Linked DNA regions of Caenorhabditis elegans. The protein of the gene in region 1 interacts with the protein of each later gene in a pairwise test. Each region holds a gene or a part of one and is shown on either strand. Other genes may lie near its edges. The genes, in order: npp-25 and Y55F3BR.2.

The links.
Region 2: the proteins of npp-25 (region 1) and Y55F3BR.2 interact in a two-hybrid assay, tested with the Caenorhabditis elegans proteins (one large-scale study listed by BioGRID).

Annotation. Positions count from the first base shown.
Region 1 is NC_003281.10:12,917,677-12,930,158, forward strand, and holds npp-25 (Transmembrane protein 33 homolog), read right to left. Parts: upstream 8,322-12,482; 5' UTR 8,307-8,321; coding exon 8,190-8,306; intron 8,142-8,189; coding exon 8,003-8,141; intron 6,629-8,002; coding exon 6,429-6,628; intron 4,213-6,428; coding exon 3,853-4,212; 3' UTR 2,601-3,852; downstream 1-2,600. Other genes in the region: Y37D8A.16 (MARVEL domain-containing protein), read right to left, coding at 941-994; mrps-10 (Small ribosomal subunit protein uS10m), read left to right, coding at 8,884-9,075, 9,135-9,281, 9,978-10,109; rbm-7 (RRM domain-containing protein), read right to left, coding at 10,798-11,003, 11,905-12,041; Y37D8A.19 (uncharacterized protein), read left to right, coding at 12,216-12,269.
Region 2 is NC_003282.8:854,875-864,278, forward strand, and holds the start of Y55F3BR.2 (BPTI/Kunitz inhibitor domain-containing protein), read left to right. Parts: upstream 1-4,055; 5' UTR 4,056-4,057; coding exon 4,058-4,106; intron 4,107-4,156; coding exon 4,157-4,280; intron 4,281-4,905; coding exon 4,906-5,060; intron 5,061-5,253; coding exon 5,254-5,376; intron 5,377-5,901; coding exon 5,902-6,025; intron 6,026-6,075; coding exon 6,076-6,185; intron 6,186-6,232; coding exon 6,233-6,345; intron 6,346-7,224; coding exon 7,225-7,528; intron 7,529-7,875; exon of another isoform or gene 7,876-8,098; intron 8,099-8,347; coding exon 8,348-8,500; intron 8,501-9,152; coding exon 9,153-9,392; intron 9,393-9,404. Other genes in the region: Y55F3BR.11 (Ground-like domain-containing protein), read left to right, coding at 851-941, 1,028-1,140, 1,788-1,961.

The DNA.
Region 1 (12,482 bases):
AAAACTACAGTAATCCTTAAAATGACTATTGTAGCGCTCGTATCGATTTACGGTAATCATTTATTTTATCGATATAATATTAGCGCTACAGTATAAATAATTGATCCTTTCAAAGATCGCCCCCCGTAAATCGACACAAGCGCTACAGTAGTCATTTAATGGATTACTGTAGTTTTCGTTTTCGCTAAGATATATTTTGCGCGTCAAATATGTTGTGCAAAACGTATTCTCAGAATTTTTTCCTCAATTTCCAGTTTATTTCCAAATGTATACAGTTCCGGTGCATGACTAATGTCTTCAGGTGGGTGGCGGGTCGTCTTCAAAGTTTCACCCCGCAATATGCAAATATTTGTTTGTAGAGCGAGTATGCTCTTTACGATGGAAAGTCTCAAGGTCTACAGCCTACTGATAACAATGGTTAACATTGTTTTACGTTATATATTTGGAAAATGAGTGAGAGATAGGCTAGACGCAGACAATTTGGAAAAGCAAAACAATTTTAGAAAGAAGTTTCGAAAAAATTCGAAAATCGATATTATGGGAACACAGAATTCTGAGAATGCATATTGCACAACATATTTGACGCACAAAATATAACTATATCTCGTAGCGAAAACTACAGTAATTCATTAAATGACCTTGTGTCGATTTACGGGCTTATATTAATTGATTAACCGAATAGTGACAACGTTAAAAAAATCGAGCCCGTCAATCGACACCAGCGCTACAGTAGTCATGTAAAGAATTACTGTAGTTTTCGCTACGAGATATTTTGCGTGGCAATAATTTTTTTATATTCTCGGTCCCTCAGAGGTGCTGCGTGGCCTAGAAAATTCTAAAATTCGGCCAGACATTATTTAATGTAAGCTGAGAGGCCCAGGTTTTCAATTTTTCTAGGCCACGTATTCTAGGCCACCCATTCAGCGCGAAAAAAACTTACAATAATCACAATTTTAATGCCCATACCGATGAGCAGCTGGCTTGGAAACGCCATTTTCTGTAAATATTAAGTAAAAAGAACTGAAAAATAAATTATACATTAAGAAAAAAGTAGGGGATAGGTTGGAACTTCGCTCCATTGATAATGCAAAATTTTTCACAATAGAGCTTATTTGCATAGAATGGGATTTCGAAAAAATTGATATTATGAAGACGCAGAAAAAATCGGCTTTTCAAATCGAGGTGCAAAGGCGCTCCAATGAAAAATTTGGGTCTTGTTGGGTATTTACGTCTGGCTTCCCTCATACATTGAAATGGAAGAGTTTGCCGAACTAGGCCATTTTGGCTCGGCCATATCTGGGGTAGATTTACGGCGCGTTGCGTGTCGCGTCGCGGCTCGATTGTAAAACTAAATGTATTTGTCCGTGTGGAGTACACGACTTTCCCACGCGTTGTCCGGCTTGTCAAATGGAGCGCGAAAAATTCAATGATGAATGCCAGAACCCCGTGAAGTCGGTTTTTCAAATCGAGGTGTAATCGCGGTTCAAATTTGGGTCTCGTTAGGTTATTGGCGTTTTCAATTATTTTTCGTATTGTTTTTGTCGAAATAATGTTTCAGCATTAAAAAATACTGAAAACTAAACAAAAACGACTAAAAATGCTTGAAAATTTACGAGTTTCCCGCCAATACCTAACGAGACCCAAGACCCAGGGGCGGAGAGTGTTAATTTCGCCGTGAAGCGCGCTTGCACCTTGATTTCAATTTTTTTTTCAGGTTTACGAGCGATGCAAATAATTGTTTCAACTCAAAAAATCTTCTATTGGGGGAGTACACAAAGGGTTTTCAATAGAGCGCGTTTGCTGACCTAATTATTTAACAAAAATAATTATATTTGGACGCCACGGGGTTCTGGCCGTCCTCTTTGAATTTTACGCGCTCCATTGACAATTGCCCGCCGGACAACGCTTGGGAAAGTGTCGTGTACTCCACACGGATAAATACAGTTAGTTTTACAAGCCGCGACGCGACACGCAACGCACCGGAAATCTACCCCAGATATGGCCGAGCCAAAATGGCCTAGTCCGGCAAACTCTTCCATTTCAATTTATGAGGGAAGCCAGAAATTCGTGGGGGCGCTTTAGCAGGAAATTTAAAAATTTTAAAATTGAAGGATCAGAAAACCTGCCCTATTGAGAATTAATCTAAGTCTTCTAAATTTAAAAGGGCCCAGAAGTTTGATTTAAAAAATCGAAAAAAAAAACAATTTTCCGTATAGTCATATGATGACAGTATACAACATCAGTTTCCCTGCAGAAAGTCGAAAAGTGAAGAGAGATGGAGAAGCAGGCGAGAGACCTCCCATCGCTCGCCGCGCCGGTGAATCATGAAAGAGCAAATATAGAGTGTCTGTGTCTCTCTCTGTCTTCAACACTATTTTCATACTTCTACATTTCTGAACCTCTCATATTTCAATGTTCCATGGGGGGCTTGACTGTTTGCCTACGGAATTGCATAACAAGGTGAGCAGGCAGGTAGGAGGGGGGGAACCGAATCGATAAATTGTATACGTTGAGGAGGTTGACTATTTGCATTTCGGCGGCTTGAGCCCTAGCGGGAAAGGGTTCCAAGCTGCTGAACATGTGCACAAATGAGCAAATGAAAATGTTTATGTAGAGGAAAAGCTCGACTTTGATAGAATCGATAGTAATTTAATATGAATTTTTTGAGGAAATAATGGAAAGGGCATCAGAATTTAGCGGGTCTCGACACGACAATTTCTAGGCGGAACAGGCAGAAAACAGACCGTAATGACCGAATATAAGTATTTAAAATATTTGGAAAAAATTTTTTTAAAAATTGATTTTTTTTTGGATTTTTTTGCAGAAGCCGGCCGTTTTTTTTGGAAATTTTGAAAAAAAATTTAAAAAAATTGTTTTTTTTTAAATTTTTTTTTTTGCAGAAAAAAGGATATTTCCAAAAGGTTGCCGGGGCTTAATCAGTCTTTTTTTTGTTTTGAAAATTTTGGAAAAAAAATTCTTAAAAATTAGGAAATTTTTTTTTTCAATTTTTTTTCAAATTTTAAAAAGCTCATTACGGCCTATTTTCTGCCATTTAATGCCGAAAAAAAAATTTCCAGCAAAAAGTCGTGGCGAGACCGCTATTTTTGGTGCAAAAATCGTTTGTGTAATATAAAGGGCGGGTAGGAAGGGGGAGGAGAAGATCTGAAAGAGCACATGAAAAATTATGGAAAAAGCGGAAAAATGTAAGCGAAAAGGGGAAGAAATCGGATGTTTGGCAGAAAAAAAATATTGGAAAAAACACTGAAAATCTAGAATTTGTGCACAAAATGGGGAATTCGCTTCAAAAAATCCCACTTCATCTGATTGGTCGAAAAGTGGGCGGAGCAATTCGCTGATTGGTCGGCCAGAATTTAGCCAAAATTGAAAAAAAAAAAACATTTTAAGCCGTTTTTTTTTGTGGAATTTCTGGATTTTTTGGGTTTTCCAAAAAAATCCAAACTTTTTGGATTTTTTTTCAATTTTTCAAAAAAAAAAAACGGCTTATTAGGCTCCGCCCACTTTTTGGAGATGTTTTTTGAAAAATAAATTCCAAAAAAACACTTAAAATTTCCGGATATCCAAGAAGTGGGCGGAGCCTGATAATAAATTTTTTGGATTTTTTGTTTAATTTTTCAAAAAAAAAAACAAGGCTTATTAGGCCCCACCCACTTTTTGGAGATATTTTTTCTGGAAAATAAATTCCAAAAAAAAAAACACTTAAAATTTCCGGATATCCAAGAAGTGGGCGGAGCCTAAAAACCAATTTTTTTTGGATTTTTCAACAAAAATCTAGAAAATCAGTGTTTTTGTGGTAACAACAAAAAAATATATAAAAAAAGTTCAATTAATAAATCACATGACTGGCGGAGCTCTAGCCGAGATGAAATCAATAGCTCTGTAGATCAGTGAGCTAATCGGACGGGGGCAACTCGAGCTCATCGCAACATTCTGAAGTGATCCACGCATTTGCGCGAACGCTTGACGAGTCGACGGATTCCGTCTGGAGGCGTATCTCAGCGAAAGGAACCGGTAGTAGGCGAACGGCAGGAGCAGTGATCCTTTTCCACTGAAAATCAGCGAGACGAGCAGTGGAACGAGAAAGATTTCCGAGCAAGCGATGATTCCGAGAGCATTTTGGGTTTGATGAGCAGTGAATTGTTCCAGTTTTGGGATGATTGAGCTGGTGTGACCGGTTTCACGTAGGATTTTCGTCTGAAAAATTACTTATTAAATGTGGAGTAGCGTCAGTGGGGAAATTGGTTTAAAACACGCCTATGGTACCACAATGACCGAATATCATGATTAAAAATTCAAAAAATTCAAAAATTTTTTTCTAAATTCTATATGATTTTTTGAAAATTGGAAAAAAATCTCAGTTTGCGTGGAATTCCTATTTGAATTACCGCCAATTGGATTCGTTCGATGGAGCGCGCTTGCACGTTTTTAAATTTAATTATTTTATTTTTTGTTACTTATTTTCCACCGATTTTTAATGTTTTCGGTGTATTTTTGCTTGAATTTTAGAGAAAAAGTCAAAATAAATGCAAATTTTCGATTAAAAAGCACGGTTGCAGTCGTAAATCAGTGAAATTAATTAATTCAAGTTTGAAATCGTTTAAAAGCGTTACTTTTTCATTTTTACTATGTCAGCGTAGTGCTTTTTTATCGAAAATTTGCATTTATCTTGACTTTTTCTCTAAAACTCAAGCAAAAATACACCGAAAACATTGAAAATCGGTGGAAAATAACAAAAAATAAAATAAATAAATTTAAAATCGTGCAAGCGCGCTCCATCGAACAAATCCAATTGGCGGAAATTCAAAAATAATTAGGCAAAAACTGAGATTTTTTCAATTTTCAAAAAATCATATTATCATGATATTCGGTCATTGTGGTACCATAGGCGTATTTTAAAGCAATTTCCCCACAGGGTGTGTACCTTTAAACAGTTATTTTTGTGGTCATTTAAATCGAAAAATTTCAACTCTACTACGGCCCGAAAAACCGATTTTCGTAAGGACATGTTATATATTTAAAGGGGGAGTAGCGCCCGTGAGGATTTTGTCTAAATGCACTTATAATGATCCAAAACAACCGAATATCATAATAAAATACTCCAAAAAAAAATATATAGATTTTCATAATTTCCGGGCAAAGTTTTGGCAAATTGCCAAAATTTTGAAAATTACAATCTTTTTGAGGAAATTTAAAGAAATGTCGCATGTTTCGACCCCTACAATGTTCTAATACAAATAATTTAAACAAAATTAAAACATAAAAACAGTCGAAAAAAAAAATGTTTTTTTGGTCGACTTCCAAAATTATGAGTGGCAAAAACTGAGTAATTGCCACTTTTTGACAGTAAATAAAAAATGTTCAAAATTTTTTTGAAAAGTTTTAGGAGGCTAAAAGCATACAATTTTGATCATGTTTCGAATTTCTCTCAACTCAAAAACGTGCGTAAATGACCACCAAAAAATGCAAAAAATTCAGATTTTTTTTTTCAAAATCAGGGTCATAAAAAATGTTTTGGGCGTTTTTTGAGAAGTTTCTTTATGAAATTCAATAGTTTTGGGTCATCACTGCAACTTTTTCCTCACGAGGGACGAGGAAAAGTGGTTTCTAGGCCATGGCCGAGGGGCCGACAAGTTTCAGCGGCCATTTATCTTGCTTTGTTTTCCGCCTGTTTTCTTTTGTTTTTCACAGCTTTTTCCCGTTTTTTCTTACTAAAACTGATAAATAAATACTTTTTGCAGATGCTAAAACAATTTCCAAGTGAAAAAATAATGTATTCAGTGGGCAAGCAGCGGTGAAAGTGGTCAATGTAAAATGATGGATTACGGGAATACAAAACCTATACTTTTTCTGAAACATGATACATATGCTGCTTAAATGCTGAAATTACCTGATTTTCATAACGAGACCGCTGAAAAAGTTTTGAGGTTTCCAAAATTCAACTTTTTCGGTGAAAAAGTCGAGATTTTCCAAAATTCAACTTTTTCGGTGAAAAAGTCGAGATTTTCGCACAAAAAGTTGAATTTTGAAAACCTCAAAACTTTTTCAGCGGTCTCGTTATGAAAATCAGGTAATTTCAACATCTAAGCAGCATATGTATCATGTTTCAGAAAAAGTTTAGGTTTTGTATTCCCGTAATCCATCATTTTACATTGACCACTTTCACCGCTGCTTGCCCACTGAATACATAATTTTTTACTTGGAAATTGTTTTAGCATCTGCAAAAAGTATTTATTTATCAGTTTTAATAAGAAAAAACGAAAAAAATCGATGAAAAACAAAAGAAAACAGGCGGAAAACAAAGCAAGATAAATGGCCGCTGAAACTTGTCGGCCCCTCGGCCATGGCCTAGAAACCACTTTTCCTCGTCCCTCGTGAGGAAAAAGTTGCAGTGGTTCAGTCCAAAACTTTACCATAAAAGTGCAAGCATGAAGAGCCGCATAGATAGTAACTGGAAGAGCAGCCATGCTTACTGGAGCAGCCATCAGGAATACGACAGAATAGACGAGATAATGGAATGAATCTTCGATGATGAGACGCTGAATAAACTGCGCATTCAGTGCAAATTGTCCTTGAATTCTCGTGTGAAGACGGAGGGCGAATGTGGCGGCGGCTGAAAAAAAAAAGTTTTTTTTTGGAAAAAAAAATCTCAAATTTTGCGGTTAAAAATTGGATTTTTATTCAATTTTTTGTCATATTCTGCACATTTTTGCAAGAGCATCGCATAGAAAAAGAGGCGGAGCGTAATTTTGCAACCCTGCGGCACGGTTTTCCAATGAATTTTCGATTTTTCTTTTTTCTCAATAAAAATTGGATTTTATTCAATTTTTTGTCATATTTTGCACATTTTTGCAAGAGCATCGCACAGAAAAAGGGGCGGAGCTTAATTTTGCAACCCTGCGGCACGGTTTTTTCTCCATTTTTCTCAATAAAATTTCGATTTTACTTGTTTTTCTCTTTTTTTTTCGAATAAAATTCTATCGAAAAAAGATAATAAAACATGTAAAATCGAAAGTTTTTTTTTAATCAATTTCAAAAAAGCAGTGGAAAAACCGTGCCGCAGGGTTGCAAAATTACGCGCCGCCTCTTTTTCTGTGCGATGCTGCTTTTTTTTTTTGCAAAATCTCACATTTTTTCGTTGATTACGGTACTTTTGTAGCCGATATCGACGTTTAATGCACCGTGAATTTTGCAAAAAAGGAGTATCGCACAGAAAAAGAGGCGGAGCTTATTTTGCAATCCTGCGGCACGGTTTTTTAGCTGCTTTTTTAAAATTGAATGTTTTAAAATAAAATTTTTGATTTTTCCTCTTTTTAGAATAAAATTCTATCGAAAAAAGATAATAAAATATGTGAAATCGAAATTTTATTGAAAAAAAAAATCAATTTCAAAAAAGCAGTGGAAAAAAACCGTGCCGCAGGGTTGCGAAATTACGCTCCACCTCTTTTTCTGTGCGATGTTGATTTTTTTTTGCAAAATCTCACATTTTTCGTTGATTATGGTACTTTTATAGCCGATATCGACTTTAAATGCACCATGAATTTTGCAAAAATCAGCTTCGCCGCACAGAAAAAGAGGCGGAGCGTAATTTCGCAACCCTGCGGCACGGTTTTTCTACAGCTTTTTTAAATTGTTTTTTTTAAATAAAATTTTTATTTTTCTTGTTTTTCTCTTTTTTTCGATTAAAATTTTATCGAAAAAGGGTAATAAAACATGTAAAATCGAAATTTTAATTTTAAAAAATCAATTTTAAAAAAAAACACTAAAAAACTGTGCCGCAGGGTTGCGAAATTACGCCCCGCCTCTTTTTCTGTGCGATGCTGTTTTTTTTTGCAAAATAAAGGACAAAAATTAGCAGAGTCTGACGAAAATCAAACGGAGAAATCGATAATTTTTGGGGATTTTGGCTAAATTATGCAATTTTTTCGAATTTTTTCGAATTCCCGGTCTGAAATTCGGGCTTTTAGGCTTTTGCCAAATAACGTACAAGCTGCGAAGATCTTATAATACGCAGAATGAGCCGGCACCAATCCAATAAACGGAATCATGTAGTTCAGAGCAAAAAAGACGGTCAAAACTCGTGCGGCGAATAGCACACACTCCATTGTGTTCGCCGAAACGTATTGCTGGAAAATTATTGATTTTTAGTTGGAAAAAACTGCAAAAATTCTCACTGAAATCGAGGAATAAGCTGGCGGTGGTGGTGGTGGTGGGGCACTCGAAGATCCAGAAGATCCAGCTCCGGTGGATGAAGATTGATGATCATCGGGTTCTTCGACAATTTCGACCATTTTTGTGAAGTTTTTCTGCAAAAAAATCTGTGAAATTGGGAAAAAAGGAAAAAATTGAGGTTAGGAGACGTGGATTAGCCCAAAAATTGCGTAGAATGTTCCGGAATCATCGATTTTTTTCTGTTTTAAACAAAAATTAAGGCAACGCATATTGAAAATCAAAAGAAAACACCAGCGGTTTCTATGGAAATCAATTAACGAGTATGTGGAGCCGCAGAGCACACATTCTCGATAATACTTGAGAACGACCGCAAACACTTTGACGGCACGTTGCACAGAAAATATTTTTGTGATTTTTTACTTTATTTACTCATAATAATCGTTTTAAACTGCTTTTATCGGATATAAATTCATAAATTTGAAGAAAAACTGCAGAATTTCTCTAGCTAGAAATAAAAAATAAAATTAATTGTCGTCAAGTTGTGCGCATTGTACGCAAGCAGCGTGACGTCAGATTGCACAGTTTTCTTTTTTATATAAAAAATTTAATTTAATCTTTTTTAAAATCAAATTTCCGCTATTCAAATAGATTTTAAGAGCTTATTTTAAAATAAATTAAAATTTCCTGAATTTCAGAATGCTAAAACTCGCTTCATCCCTCAGAACTGGTCTTATAAGCCGAAGCATCCGAACATTAGCGCCAACAGTGAACCCGGCCGAGCAACAGCAAGTTCAAGCAGTTTTACCCGACAAACTGTACAGCTCAGTTGAAATCGAGTATCGTGGGCACGACAAGGCGGTTTTGAAGTCATATACGTCGTTTTTGCAGGTATTTGAACGTTTTTCAGGTCTTTTTGATTTTAAATTGCATTTTTCATTTATTTTCAGCAAGTCTGCCAACACCTGGAGATTCCTCAAGGTCGTCTCGAAGTTCTTCCGTATATTCGATGGGTTCAGCCGGCTCTGCGCTCGAAATTCGTCCATAAAAAATATAAATTGCATTATGAGACGAGAACACACATTTCTAAACTTGAGGTTGGAAAATAATTAAACGCCTATGGGGTCACAATAACCGAATATCATGATAAAAAAATTCAAAAAAATTTTCTAGATTTTATATGATTTTTTGAAAATTAGAAAAATCTCAGTTTTCCCCCTAATTCCTAATTGAATTTCCGCCAATTGGATTCGTTCGGTGGAGCGCACTTGCTATATTTTCATTAATTTATTTTATTTTTTCTCATTCTTTCACTGATTTTCTTCAATATTTGCGTATTTTTATCGGAAAAAGAGAGAAAAATGCAAGATAAAATCAAATTGTTCATTAAAAATCACTGAAAATGGGTAAAACTCTAAAATTATGAGTTCTGGAGACAACAAGCTAGCTTGAAATTAGCATATTTTACAGTTTTACCCATTTTCAGTATTTTTTTTTTATGAAGAATTTGCATTTTTCTCTCTTTTTCCGATAAAAAACCACAAATATTGAAGAAAATCAGTGAAATAATGAGAAAAAATAAAATAAAATCAATAAAAATAGAGCAAGTGCGCTCCACCGAACAAGTTCAATTAGCGGTAATTTAAATAGGAATTAGGGGAAGGGAAGAAAGAGATTTTTTCAATTTTCAAAAAATCATATAAAGTCAGGAACATTTTTTTGAATTTTTTTATCATGATATTCGGTCTCTGTGACCCCAAAGGCGTGTTTTCACCTTAAATTTTTTTTTCCAGATCCTCAACGTGACTGGCTCCACAGCTTCAACATTCCTCGAATACATCCAACGAAACATCCCAGAAGGCGTCGGAATGCGTGTCGGATTCACCGAACTTCAACCACTACCGCTGACAATTCAGAAAAATTGATTTATAACCAAATTCTAGTGTGTAGATCCTTATTGTTATTTCGTTTTTTTTTCCTTCTTCAAATTGTTTACTTTTAATGAAATAATAAAGGTGGACCTCTCACCTGATTGGTCGGAAAGTGGGCGAAGCAATTCGCTGGTTGGTCGGCCAAAATTTAGCCAAAATTGAAAAAAAGGTGTTTTTTTTCTGTGGAATTTCTGAATTTTTAGGATTTTCCAAAAAAAATCCGAATTTTTTGATTTTTTAACAATTTTCAAAAAAAAACTGCTTTTTAGGCCCCGCCCACTTCTTGGAGATAGGTTATTTTGGAAAATAAATTCCAAAAAAAACACTGAAAATTTCCGAATGCCCAAGAAGTGGGCGGAGCCTAAAAATAAATTTTTTTGGATTTTTTTATTTTTCAAAAAAAAACGGCTTATTAGGCCCCGCCCACTTCCTGGAGATATCTGTTTTTCTGGAAAGGAAAAAAATTCCAAAAAAATCACTTGAAATTTCCGGATATCCAGGAAGTGGGCGGAGCCTAAAAATAAATTTTTTTGAAAATTTCCAGTAGATCTTTGTTGTTGCATTTTTCTCTATATTTTCAAATTGTGTTTGCTTTTATTAAATATATAAAATGAGACCAAAAAACATGGCAAAACAAGTGAAAAAGATCAAAATAATTATGATTTCCCGCCCGAATCATCGATCAATAACGTTCACGTCTTCTGTCATCATTGCGATGATGCCGGCTCGAGCTTCGGTCATATCCATGACGATCGTGATGACGGTGTGGCGTGGAATTCTGATGACGTCCATTGTACGGAGGAGCGGATCTATTAATTTGTTGCTGCATCATTTGATTTACAAAATGTTGATGAGGAAGCATTTGCGGAGTCGAATATTGTGGAGGACCTGGAAAATATTGATTTTTCGATTTTTTTTCCGACATTCTTGCGTTTTTCGGCTGAATTGGTTACTTTTTTCAGCGAACTTTTTTCAGCTTTTTCAATTTTATTCAATTTTTTTTAGTTATTTTAGGTACATTAAGCTTGTTCTCATGAAATTTAGGTCTAAAAATCTAGAACTTTTCAGAAACTTCTGCAAAAAAAATCGATTTTTTGGAAAAATTAACGAATTTTTCCGACATTTCTGCGTTTTTCTGCAGAAAATTTATTGGTTTTCATTGAATTTTTCTCTAATATTTGATTTTAGGAATGATTTTTCAGACTTTTTGCCGCAAAAAAAGTCCCTGAAACTCTCTAAAATTGGCCACTTTTGAGCTTCAGCAATTTTTTTTTGCGGAAAAATGTCTGAAAATTGGACAAACGATGCTCTTTTTTTCGTCTGGTGTAATTTTTTTTCCCAATTTTTGAGTTATTTTAGGCCTAATTAGGTAAATTGAGCCTGCTTTTATGCAATTTAGGGCTAAAAATCTCCAATTTTTCAGATTTTTGAACAAAAAAAAATTTTTTCTAATTAAGATTTTTTCACCGATTTCTCACTTATATTGAGGGGGTTTCGGAAAAATTATAGATTTGTTCTTCTAAAATTCCTCAAAAATTGGCTCAATTTTTTAAAAATCAAATTTTCCGGCTAATTTCCGCAAAAACCTTGCAAATTATCGATTTTTAGGGTTTCAGCATGTTTTTTTGCGGAAAAAAGGTTGAAATTTTGAATTTTTTGCAAAAAAAAATTTTTAAAAAAAAGATTTTTTTTCCATTTTTCAGTTATTTTGAGCCCGTTCTCATGTATTTCAGGCCTAAAAATCTCCAATTTTTCAGAAATTTCAACTAAAAATCGATTTTTTTGCTACCTCTTTCCCCTCCGCTTCTCCAATGTCCTCCGGATCCTCCCATCAGTGGAGGTGGCGGTGGAGGTGGAAGAGGATCATATTGTCGATGATGACGAGGAGGCTGCTGCTGCTGCCATGAGTCACGGTTGTTTCCGTTTCTGGAAAAGACAAAAAAAAAATGATTTTTCGGCCTTTTTTTGTTGATTTTCAACGTTTTTCTTCGATTTCTGAGATTTTTAATCAAAAAAAAAATGTTGTGAGACAGAAACCAAGCCAACGCCGGGTATAAAATAAAGCCGAATTTGATCTTTTTATCATCGTCTGAGTTAGAGATGAAGCTTCTTATCGTATTTTTCGCTGTAATTTCTGTGGCTGCGGGGCAGAGCGTGAGTTTTTTATAATGTTTTTTATAATTAAAGGTGGTGTTACACCACTGGTGTAGTAGAATTTTTTTTAAAAATTGCCTTATTAGGCTCAAAATTGTCTGAAAACACCGAATTTCATAATGAAACTTCTTGAAAACTTTTCAGAAAAAAGTTATGACGGCTCAAAAAATGGCCTAAAATTAGATGAAATCGGAAATTTGACCGACTTGTCAA
Region 2 (9,404 bases), on another chromosome or scaffold:
TACGAAAAATTTGAATTTTCAGCAAAAAAATCACTAGGCCACCTAAAGAAAAGTTAGGCCACCAATTTTTTTGTTGCAAATTTTTGCAAAACTTGAGGTTTTTGATGAAGTTTTTTACGAAAATTTCAAATTTTCAATTAACTTTTTCTAATTTCACGCGGTTTTCCCGCATTTTTGCAGCAAAATATTCCTAGGCCATCACAAAAAAATTAGGCCACCAATTTTTTGTTGCAAGACTTGAGGTTTTTGATGAAATTTTAACGAAAAATCCGAATTTTCAGTTAACTGTTTCTAATTTTTTGCGGTTTTTTCTAATTTTTCAGTAAAAATTTCTAGGCCACCAGAAAAAAGTTAGGCCACCAATTTTTAAATGCAAAACTTGGGGTTTATGATAAAATTTTCACGTGAAATTCAAATATTCTGGTAATTTTTCGCATTTTCTCGCATTTGTCAACAAAAAAATCCTAGGCCACCTAAACAAAAAGTTAGGCCACAAATTTTTTTGCTGCACAATTTGGGTTTTTGATGAAATTTTTACGAAAAATTCGAATTTTCAGTCAACTTTTCAAAAAAAAAACTACATTTTTGGTAATTTTCATCACAAAAAATCGGGGTTTTCGGAAACATGCACAGTAACATCCCAATTTTTCAGAAAATATCAATTTTTTCCAGATTTTTTCGCCGGATTCTCAACGAAGCGCGTTTGCATTCTCCCCGATTTTCGAAAAATCGTCACCATGTTCCTTATCACTTATCAGAAGAAAATGAATAATTAAAATGTTTCTTATCGGGGTGTCTAATTGACTCTTCGAGCACCTGACACAGTGTCACCAGATGCACCTGCCGGAAAATGCGCCGATTTTTGCTTCTGTTCCACGTATTTTTTGCGTTTTCACACAGTTTTCCTGTTAGAAATGATGATCGTGGAGTTTTGCCGAATAGTAAGTTTTTACTGGGAAACAATTATTTTTGATTTGAAACTAAAAAAAATCTGAGAAAAAACATTCTTTTCAAAGTTTTTTTTCAGTCGACGCTCTATTCTGTACAAATAAGGATTTAAGACAAGTAGTCTTCAATGCATTGCAAAATATTACAAATCCAAAGGCAATCGCCGTTGATCAAGTTCAGGCAGCTATTCAAGTGAGTTTTTTTCTTTTTTTTTCGCCGAAAAAATTCGAAAAACATTTTCTTATCTATTTTCTTACAAATTTTCGAGTTCTCGCAAATTTTTGTGTTAAACCTAACAATTTCAGTGTAAAATTTCATAGTTTCGGGATTAGCTTTGGCTTAGGCTTACAATTAGGCTAAGACTTATCCTTAGGATTAGTCTTAAGTTTAGGCTTAACCGTAGGGTTAGGCTTAAGCTTAGGTTTAAGCTTAGGATTAGGCGTCGGCTTAGGCTTGGCCTTAGAATCAGGCTTAGGTTTAGGCTTGAGCTTAGACGTAGGCTTATGAAATAAAAATATAGATTTTAATTTAGTTGTTTATACTAAAATCACCAAATGTTCCAATTCCAATAATTTCAAAACGACTTTCTGGAATCTTTTCATTTACATTCGAAAAAATAAAAACCGGAAAAAAAATTACAGAGTTTTAAAATTAAAGTGTTTGGAGCAGCCACGCGCTTCTGGCTTCCCACGAATTTTTGAATGTAAAAGTCTGCCGAACTAGGCCATTTGAGCTCGGCCATGGTCGTGGTAGATTAACGCCAAAAATGCATTGAGGAAGACCAGAAGCCCGTGAGCACCACCACCGACAAAATTTGCACTCAAAAGTATATATTCCAGACCGCCCTAATCCCGAATTTCGCGTCTTCCGGTGGCACATGGCTTGTCAGTGCCACGTCATATCATCGTGTAAATGGATATGTGGATGATCGGGCGACGAGTATGGACACGTTTTGTGCTGTTAATGATATTAACTTGAGTATGTATATTGTAATTATGAAAATCGATAAATGAATTTAGATTCTAAAAAAGAGTTATGACGGTTCAAAGATTACCTAAGATTAGTTAAACTTTGAAATTAACTTTGACCTATACAAGTTAATTATCTTGCGTTTCCAACAAAAATTATCGACTCGACTAATACCTTTAAATGAAGTGAAATTCCTGAGTACTCTTGCATAGTGATTTAGGACTTTTTCGTGAAACAATCGTAAGATCCCCTTCAATTTTGACCAATCCTCAATGTTTTTCCAGTACGATCGGAACAAAACCTCCAAAAAAAAGGCGTCCAAGGCGCGAACACTCTTGACACATTTCCCCGCCGCCGTATACTATTTGGTCAAGGAGCTTCGAAAAAGATGAAGAAGCTCGAACTGTTCAGTTTGTTTACCCATAAAGATATATATCCCTCTCGCCCGTTCCGATACTATTTGAGCACGTAATCGAGAAATAGTGTGGGATATTGAGAGTGTAAGGCGACGAGAGATCGGCTATTCACACTGGGGGACAGCAGGATCGTGTATTTCAGAAGTGGGTGGGAGATGAGATGAGGTAATTGAAAATGAGCCGCCGCCGCCGTAGCCGACCCCATTCAGTTTTAATTTCCCGTCTTTCTGCACTTTTTGATCTGACCGATTAAATAATTGATAATTTTTTAAATTTGAAACTAATAGTGTTAACATAAGTATATTCTTATCAACATTTTTGTTGTTCACAGCTTTTTTCTAGAGTTGCTCTGAAAAAAATTACAGCGGCCGGGCCGACACTTCGCAGGTTTCCAGTTTGGGCCAGCGAAGTGTCAGCCGCTGTCACTTTCAAAGCTTTAAAAACATTTTTGTAGTTAATAACGTTCTCTAGCTCACACCTGAAACGGCCTTTTGGGACGAGTCTGTCTGTGCCCGCAAAGTGTCGGCCGCTGTAACATTTTCCAAGGAACAGCTTTAAAAAACTGTCAACTGCAAAACTTTTAAATATATTATTATCTAAATTATTGTAGTTGACAATTCTTTTCTAGCTCCGCTATGAAAAAATTGCAGCGACCGACACCTCACTGGTTTCATTTGGGACGCTGCCTGTCTGGGCCAGCGATGTGTCGGCCGCTGTAACTCTCAAAACTGTTTAATATATAACACTATCTACATTTGTGTGGTTAAAAAATTTTCAAGCTCAGCCCTGAAAAAAGTTACAGTGGCCGACACTTCGTAGGTTTCTTTTGGGCCACTGCCCGGAAGGTGTCGGCCGCTGTAACATTTTCAAGTAAAGAGCTGGAAAAAAGTTGTTCACTGCATAACTGAATTTTTATAGTTGACAACTTTTCTATAGCTGGCTCCTGAAATGAGCGCCGCCGACACCTCACTGGTCTAGATTCCGGACCAGCCAGGTGAGCAAGTTTTTCTACAGAAAAATCAAAACTTCTTCTCACTTTCCACACTTTTGTCAATAAAACCCCAAAATTTCAAGTGTTTTTCAACAAGCACCGCACCGCTAACTTTCAAGTGTGATTTTTCACGCGTTGACCCTTTAGAGCTCCGTGTTTGCTTTTCATTTATGAAAGTAATTGATAGCGGTCATTCAAATGTACAAATATCGTGGTTATATTCATTATTTACTTCCATATTTTAAGTTATATCCCGCGCAATTAGAAAAAAAGAACAAAAAAAGGCAAACCTATAAAGTGTCGGCCGCTTTAACTTTTTCCAGGGCAAAGCTAGAAAAATATTGTCAACAACAAAAATGTAGACGGTATTAAGTTAGACGGTTTTGTAAGTGAAAAATTTTTTTATAGCTCCACTCTGAAAGGAGTCCTAGCAGCCGACACATAGCGGGTTGGCATTATAGACACCTGTGAGATGTCGGCCGCTCTAACTTTGTTCACAGCAAGTGTAATAGCGTTTTTTAAATAAAAAAATATAACTGATATTGCACTAAAAAATTTCGTAGTTGACAACTTTTTTCTAGCTTTGCCCTAAACAAAGTTAGAGCGGCTGACATCTGGCGGTTCCAAAAATAGGGCCTAGAAAACCGTGAGATGTCGGCCGCATACTTCAACTTCTAACTTCTTTATTTCTCAAATACTCTTCTTTAAAATTCATTCCAAAAACTTTTCAGGTATGATACCGTACCTACTGTTAATATGGGGTGCCCTGGGAGCTTCTGAGGGTGAGTACCAACTCTTTGAGCTGAGAAATTGTTGAAAATCAAATTTCCAGCTCTCCCAGAATGCCAAATCAATGAAATTTGCTCAAACTGCAGCCTAAAAGCAGAGCTCTCAACAAAATGTGAAATAAGCCAAGATGTCAAAGAAGCCTTTCTTTTTTGTAATCCAAGGACAAAGTGAGTTTTTTCGTAGACTACAGTACTCCAACGACGTATACAAAGTTCGAATTCAGAGTTTCCTTAAAATTTTGGGCCAAAGCTCAAAAAACTAGAATTCTCTCTAGCTCAATTTTAAAACTTTTCCGGGCTACTGCATGCAGCGCCAAAGTACTCAAACACTGAACTTGACAAGCTTTTGAGCTGGAGCTCTAAAAATTTCGGAGTTTACTAATGAACTATAGAGAATTCCAATTTTTAACAAAAAATTTGTGGAAAAATTTTTGAACTTCAGTTATGATTAATTTTGCCAAGGAGACGGGTGAAAATTATCTTCGAGTTTGTATGTCGAAAATGTTATGTTAAAATTTGAAATCTTTGCAAAAATTGGACTCGAACACAAAAAACTAGACCCCGGTAGCTCAATATTGAAAATTTCCGGGTTACTGTAGCTCCAAAAGTCCGCAAACACCGACTACCGTATTCCAATCAACCAAACTTGACAGGATTTTGAGCTAGTGTTCTGAAAAGTTAGGAGTGTACTAATTGAGCTATGAGAAATTTGAATTTCTAACTGAAAATTCGTGAAACAACTCAATTTTTCTGAAAATTTGAGTTCATTCCATATCAATATTTAACTTTCCAGAAAAATCGATATCGAACACAGTTCCTATTTGACGTGCACAAATGGTACCTGGAAGCAGGAGATTTGCTCAGAGGATGGACGGGTGCATTTCAGTCTGAGTACCCGGGATTGTGTGGATCCGGCTATGCAGGTTTTCCACTCACAGGGGACTTCTGGTAAGCTTTTTTTAGAGAGAACAAAAATGTCGGAATTTTTTTTCAAAAAGTTTTTAATTATGAATTCTAATTGTTTTATAATGATTCAGCTTACCGAGAGTGAGTAGAATACGAATTTGGTAGTTAAAACAAAAAAGTTGAAAAAACTGAAAAAAAAATCATTGGAATTTTTACATATTTTAATTTTTTTTAGGATCCGGTCGGGTTGGAGACGTATGTTCCTTTAACACAGATTGCCTTGGCGGAATGTTCTGTGCAATTGGTCAATGTAGATGTCTATCGACTTATGTCGCTGTCGATGCTTATTGTTATGAAAGTAAGTTTGCCTACGTGCCTACATCCTGCCTACCTTGTGCCTACCTTATGGCTACTTGCATATAGATAAGCATGGCCAAAGTCTGCGGGACTATATCTTGCCTATTCTGTGCCTACCCTATGCCTACATTTTGCCCACTTGTCTACATGCCTACCTTCACCGTTGCCTAGCCAAGGTTACTTCTTGAAGCTTACGTGAATACATCTAGCCTACTTTACGCCTACATCCTGCCTATTTTGTGCCGAGCTCATGCCTACCTTTCACCTACCCATGGCTACTTTGAGTCTAGTTTGTGTATATTTTAAGCATATCCCATGCCTAGCTTGTGCCTACATCGGACCTATCGAAAGCCTGCCTAGCTTCTGGGCTACCGTATGCCTGCGTTAAGCCTGCATCATGCCTGCTTCTCACATTTGCCTAATTAAACTCTGCCTATACAATTCCTGTCGAATTAAGTAGGCAAATAGGTAGATGGGTAGGCAGGTAGGAATAGGCATAGGTACTAACTTGTACCTACATTTTCAGAAATCTCGCCATCCGATTCCGGGTGCTTCTACGATACCCAATGCGCATCGGTCTGGCCAGATTCCTACTGTAAAAACGGACAATGTATGTGCCCGTCGGAGGATATGATCGCAGTTAAGACCAAGTTGGTTTCATGCTCCGTGAGCCCAGATGACTAACCTTAACCATTTCCAGAGACGGTACCCTCTGCGTGTGGTCCACAAGCTCCGAGCCATCCTGCCCGCTGCCTTCCCTCCCGCCTCCGGACTCGCCGTCGAGTTTGGTGGTTCTTCCAGCGGCTGCTGGTAAGTTTCAGGATAATTTTCAGAATTTTCAGTACATTAAATTTCAGGTAAAACCAGTGTAACAATTGCTCCGTGCAACCCGCACAGCTCGGACACTCCAAAACGAGAGGAGGACCTTTTGGGCAAACAGCACGACTTCAAGTGCTCGGTTCGGGGATTCGTGAGTTTTTTTTTTGAGTTTGGAGTGAAAATCCAAATAGAGCACGCCAGGAGCTTCAATTTAAGTATAATCATGACTAGGTTCCGAACAATTTCGGGTCCCACCACGAATTTCACCGGGGTTACTGTAGTTTTCGTGGCGAGACCCAAACCGAAGGAAAGTATGTCATGATTATACTTATTTTGAAGCTCTTGGCGAGCTGGACCGCAATAAAACAAGTAGGATTCATATTTGTGATTTTTTGAAAAAAAAATTTGCAACTGTTTTTTTTTCGAAATTTCCAAAGAAAACCCAAATTCAAAGATTTTTCGCAATTTTCTCAATTTTTAATTTTAAATGCAAAAATAATGCTCTGCTCATCGCGAGCTTCAATTTAAGTATAACCATAGCCTATCTAGCTCCAAATAAAGCAATTTCGGGTCCCACCACGAAAGTCTCGGGTTACTGTAGTTTTCCTGGCGGGACCAAAAAATTGTGAGAACCTAGTCATGTTTATACTTAAGCTGAAGCTCTTAGCATGCCGATTGTTAATTTTGTAACAAAATTTGAAAAAAAAACGGAGAATTTGCGAATTTTCAAAAAATTAAAAAATATTTCCAAAATGTTTTTTTTTAATTTTTCTAGTTTTCTCAATTTTCCACTTGAGTGACTCTTTTGTACTTTAGTTAAACAAAGCTGATTCATGAGAAGTATAAAAATGCTTACTCAAAATTGGGTCCCACCACGAAAACTACAGTATCCCCGACGATTTTCGTAGCGGGACCCAAAATTGTTTCGATGGAACCTTGCCATGATTCTAATTATTTTGAAGCTCTCATTGTGCTGAATTCAATTATTGCAATTGTTTTGTGAAGAATTCAATTTTCCAAAAACTTCCAGCTAGGAGATGAGCCGGAGCCACAGGATGTCTCCGACCTGTACGACTGCATAGACAACTCGAAATTCTGGAAGGATCAGGGAATGGATACAAGTTCCCATCCAATCGGTGTATGTTGTATGAATCGAGCTTTTACCTGCATGCAACCGAAAAAAGGAGAATCTGATGCACTTGGCTCCGTGCCAAGATGGTATTTTAACTCTGTGATGGGCTCTTGTCAGCAGTTTCTGTTCGATCCAACTGGCTCAGAAGTGTCCCCGAATAATTTTGAGACTCTGGACCATTGTGAGAGTTACTGCAAAGATAGTGAGTTTTTTTTTGTGGAAATTTTTTTTCAGAATTTCTCAGTTTTTATAGTCTCCAAAATTTTTTTTATTTGTTTGTGCACGGAATTCTGGCTTCCCTCATAAATCGAAATGGCAGAGTTTGCCGAACTAGGCCATTTTGGGTCCGAGAGAATTTGTGTAGATTCTCTCGGACCCATTTAGTTGCAAAACAAAATTTTGTTGTCCGCGTGGTGTACACGACTTTCCCACGAGTTGTCCGTCAGGCGATTGTCAATGGAGCGCGAAAATTCAATGAGAAAGGCCAGAACCCCGTGTTTGTGCTCAGCTCACTGAGATCACTCAAACAAATATAAACATGCAATATTTCCATTTAGTTTGGTTGATTTGGGTCCCGCCACGAAAACTCTTGCGCTACCGTTTTTTTCGTGGCGGGACCCGAAAAAGAGGGAAGTATGTCATGTTTGTACTTATTTTGAAGCTCTCGATGAGATAAACGCAGTTTTGTTTGAGATAATGACTAAAAAAAGACATTTAAAATTTTAGAATTTTTTTTCGAAATTTTTTTTTTCAGAAAATGAAACAATTTTCATTTTTTTGGAATGCTATTTATAAGTTCATCTTCAGCGCGTCGAGAGCTTCAATTTAAGTATAATCATGACTATTATCTACCCACGTTGGGTCCCACCACGAAAACCCCGGGGGGTACTGTAGCTTTCGTGGTGGGAACCGCAGTCAGAAAAAAGTAGATCATGATTGTACTTTTCTGAAAGCTCTCATCATTCTACACACAAATCTCCGATTTGCAAAATCCGATCAAAAAAAGTTAAAAAAATTTCAGCCTGTCCACGTGGAAATCCAGCCTACCTTTCCACCAAAGGGTCTCCGAACAGTGCTCGTCTACCACAAACCGGATGCTCCACTGCTAATCCTTGTACGGATCCATTTGTGTGCACAGAAGTCGCTAGTCAGTCAATGTGTTGTGCGAGCAGAAGTAAGTGGGATTTAAAAAAAAATTGTTTTTTTGGAACTTTTTTTTGTTCAGATTTTTTTCAGTTTACGTAAAAATGCCAATTCATTATAATTTTTGAACTGAACTCACTGAGAGCTTTACCTTGACTAAAATCATGACACATTTTGCTCCAAATTGGAGAAAGTTGGGTCTCGCCACGAAACTCTCTGGGTTACTGTAGTTCTCGTGGTGGGACCCAATTTTGAGCAAAACATGTCATGATTATACTTAAATCAAAGCTCTCAGTGAGCTGAACTCGAAAATTTAACATACATTTGACAAAAATCAGTTTCAATGACAAAAAAACATGGTTTTGAAAATTTTGGAAAATTGTTCTTCTGATTTTTTCTAATTCTTGGTACTTTTTGTATTCAGCTTGTTGAGAGCTTCAATTTAAATATAATCATGACCTACTTTCCTCCAGTACGGGTCCCACCACGAAAACCCCGGGTTACTGTAGTTTTCGCGGAGGGACCAAAACTACTCAAGTTTGAGAAAAGTATGACGTGATTATGCTTAAGTTGGAACTCTAAACAGGCTGAACTCCAAAACAAACGTCTCTGAAACTCAAAAAAATGTCTGAAAAAAAATTGTCTGAAAAAAAATTTCCAAAAATTTTTTTTTCAATTTTCAGAATCAATCTGCAGTGAAGCTGGTGCAAGATCCAAGGATCCTCTCCGTAATACTCCCTATGATGCAGGACACCGTTTTGACCAGCTTACCGGTGAAGCCGCCAACTTCGCAGTGGGCATCAGTACCCGTTACTACTATAATCCAACAGATGGGCAATGCCATCCGTTCACTTTTAATGGATTTTTGGGAAATTTCAATAATTTCCAAAATCAAGCCGATTGTCAACTGTTTTGTGCCAGATGTGAGTTGAATT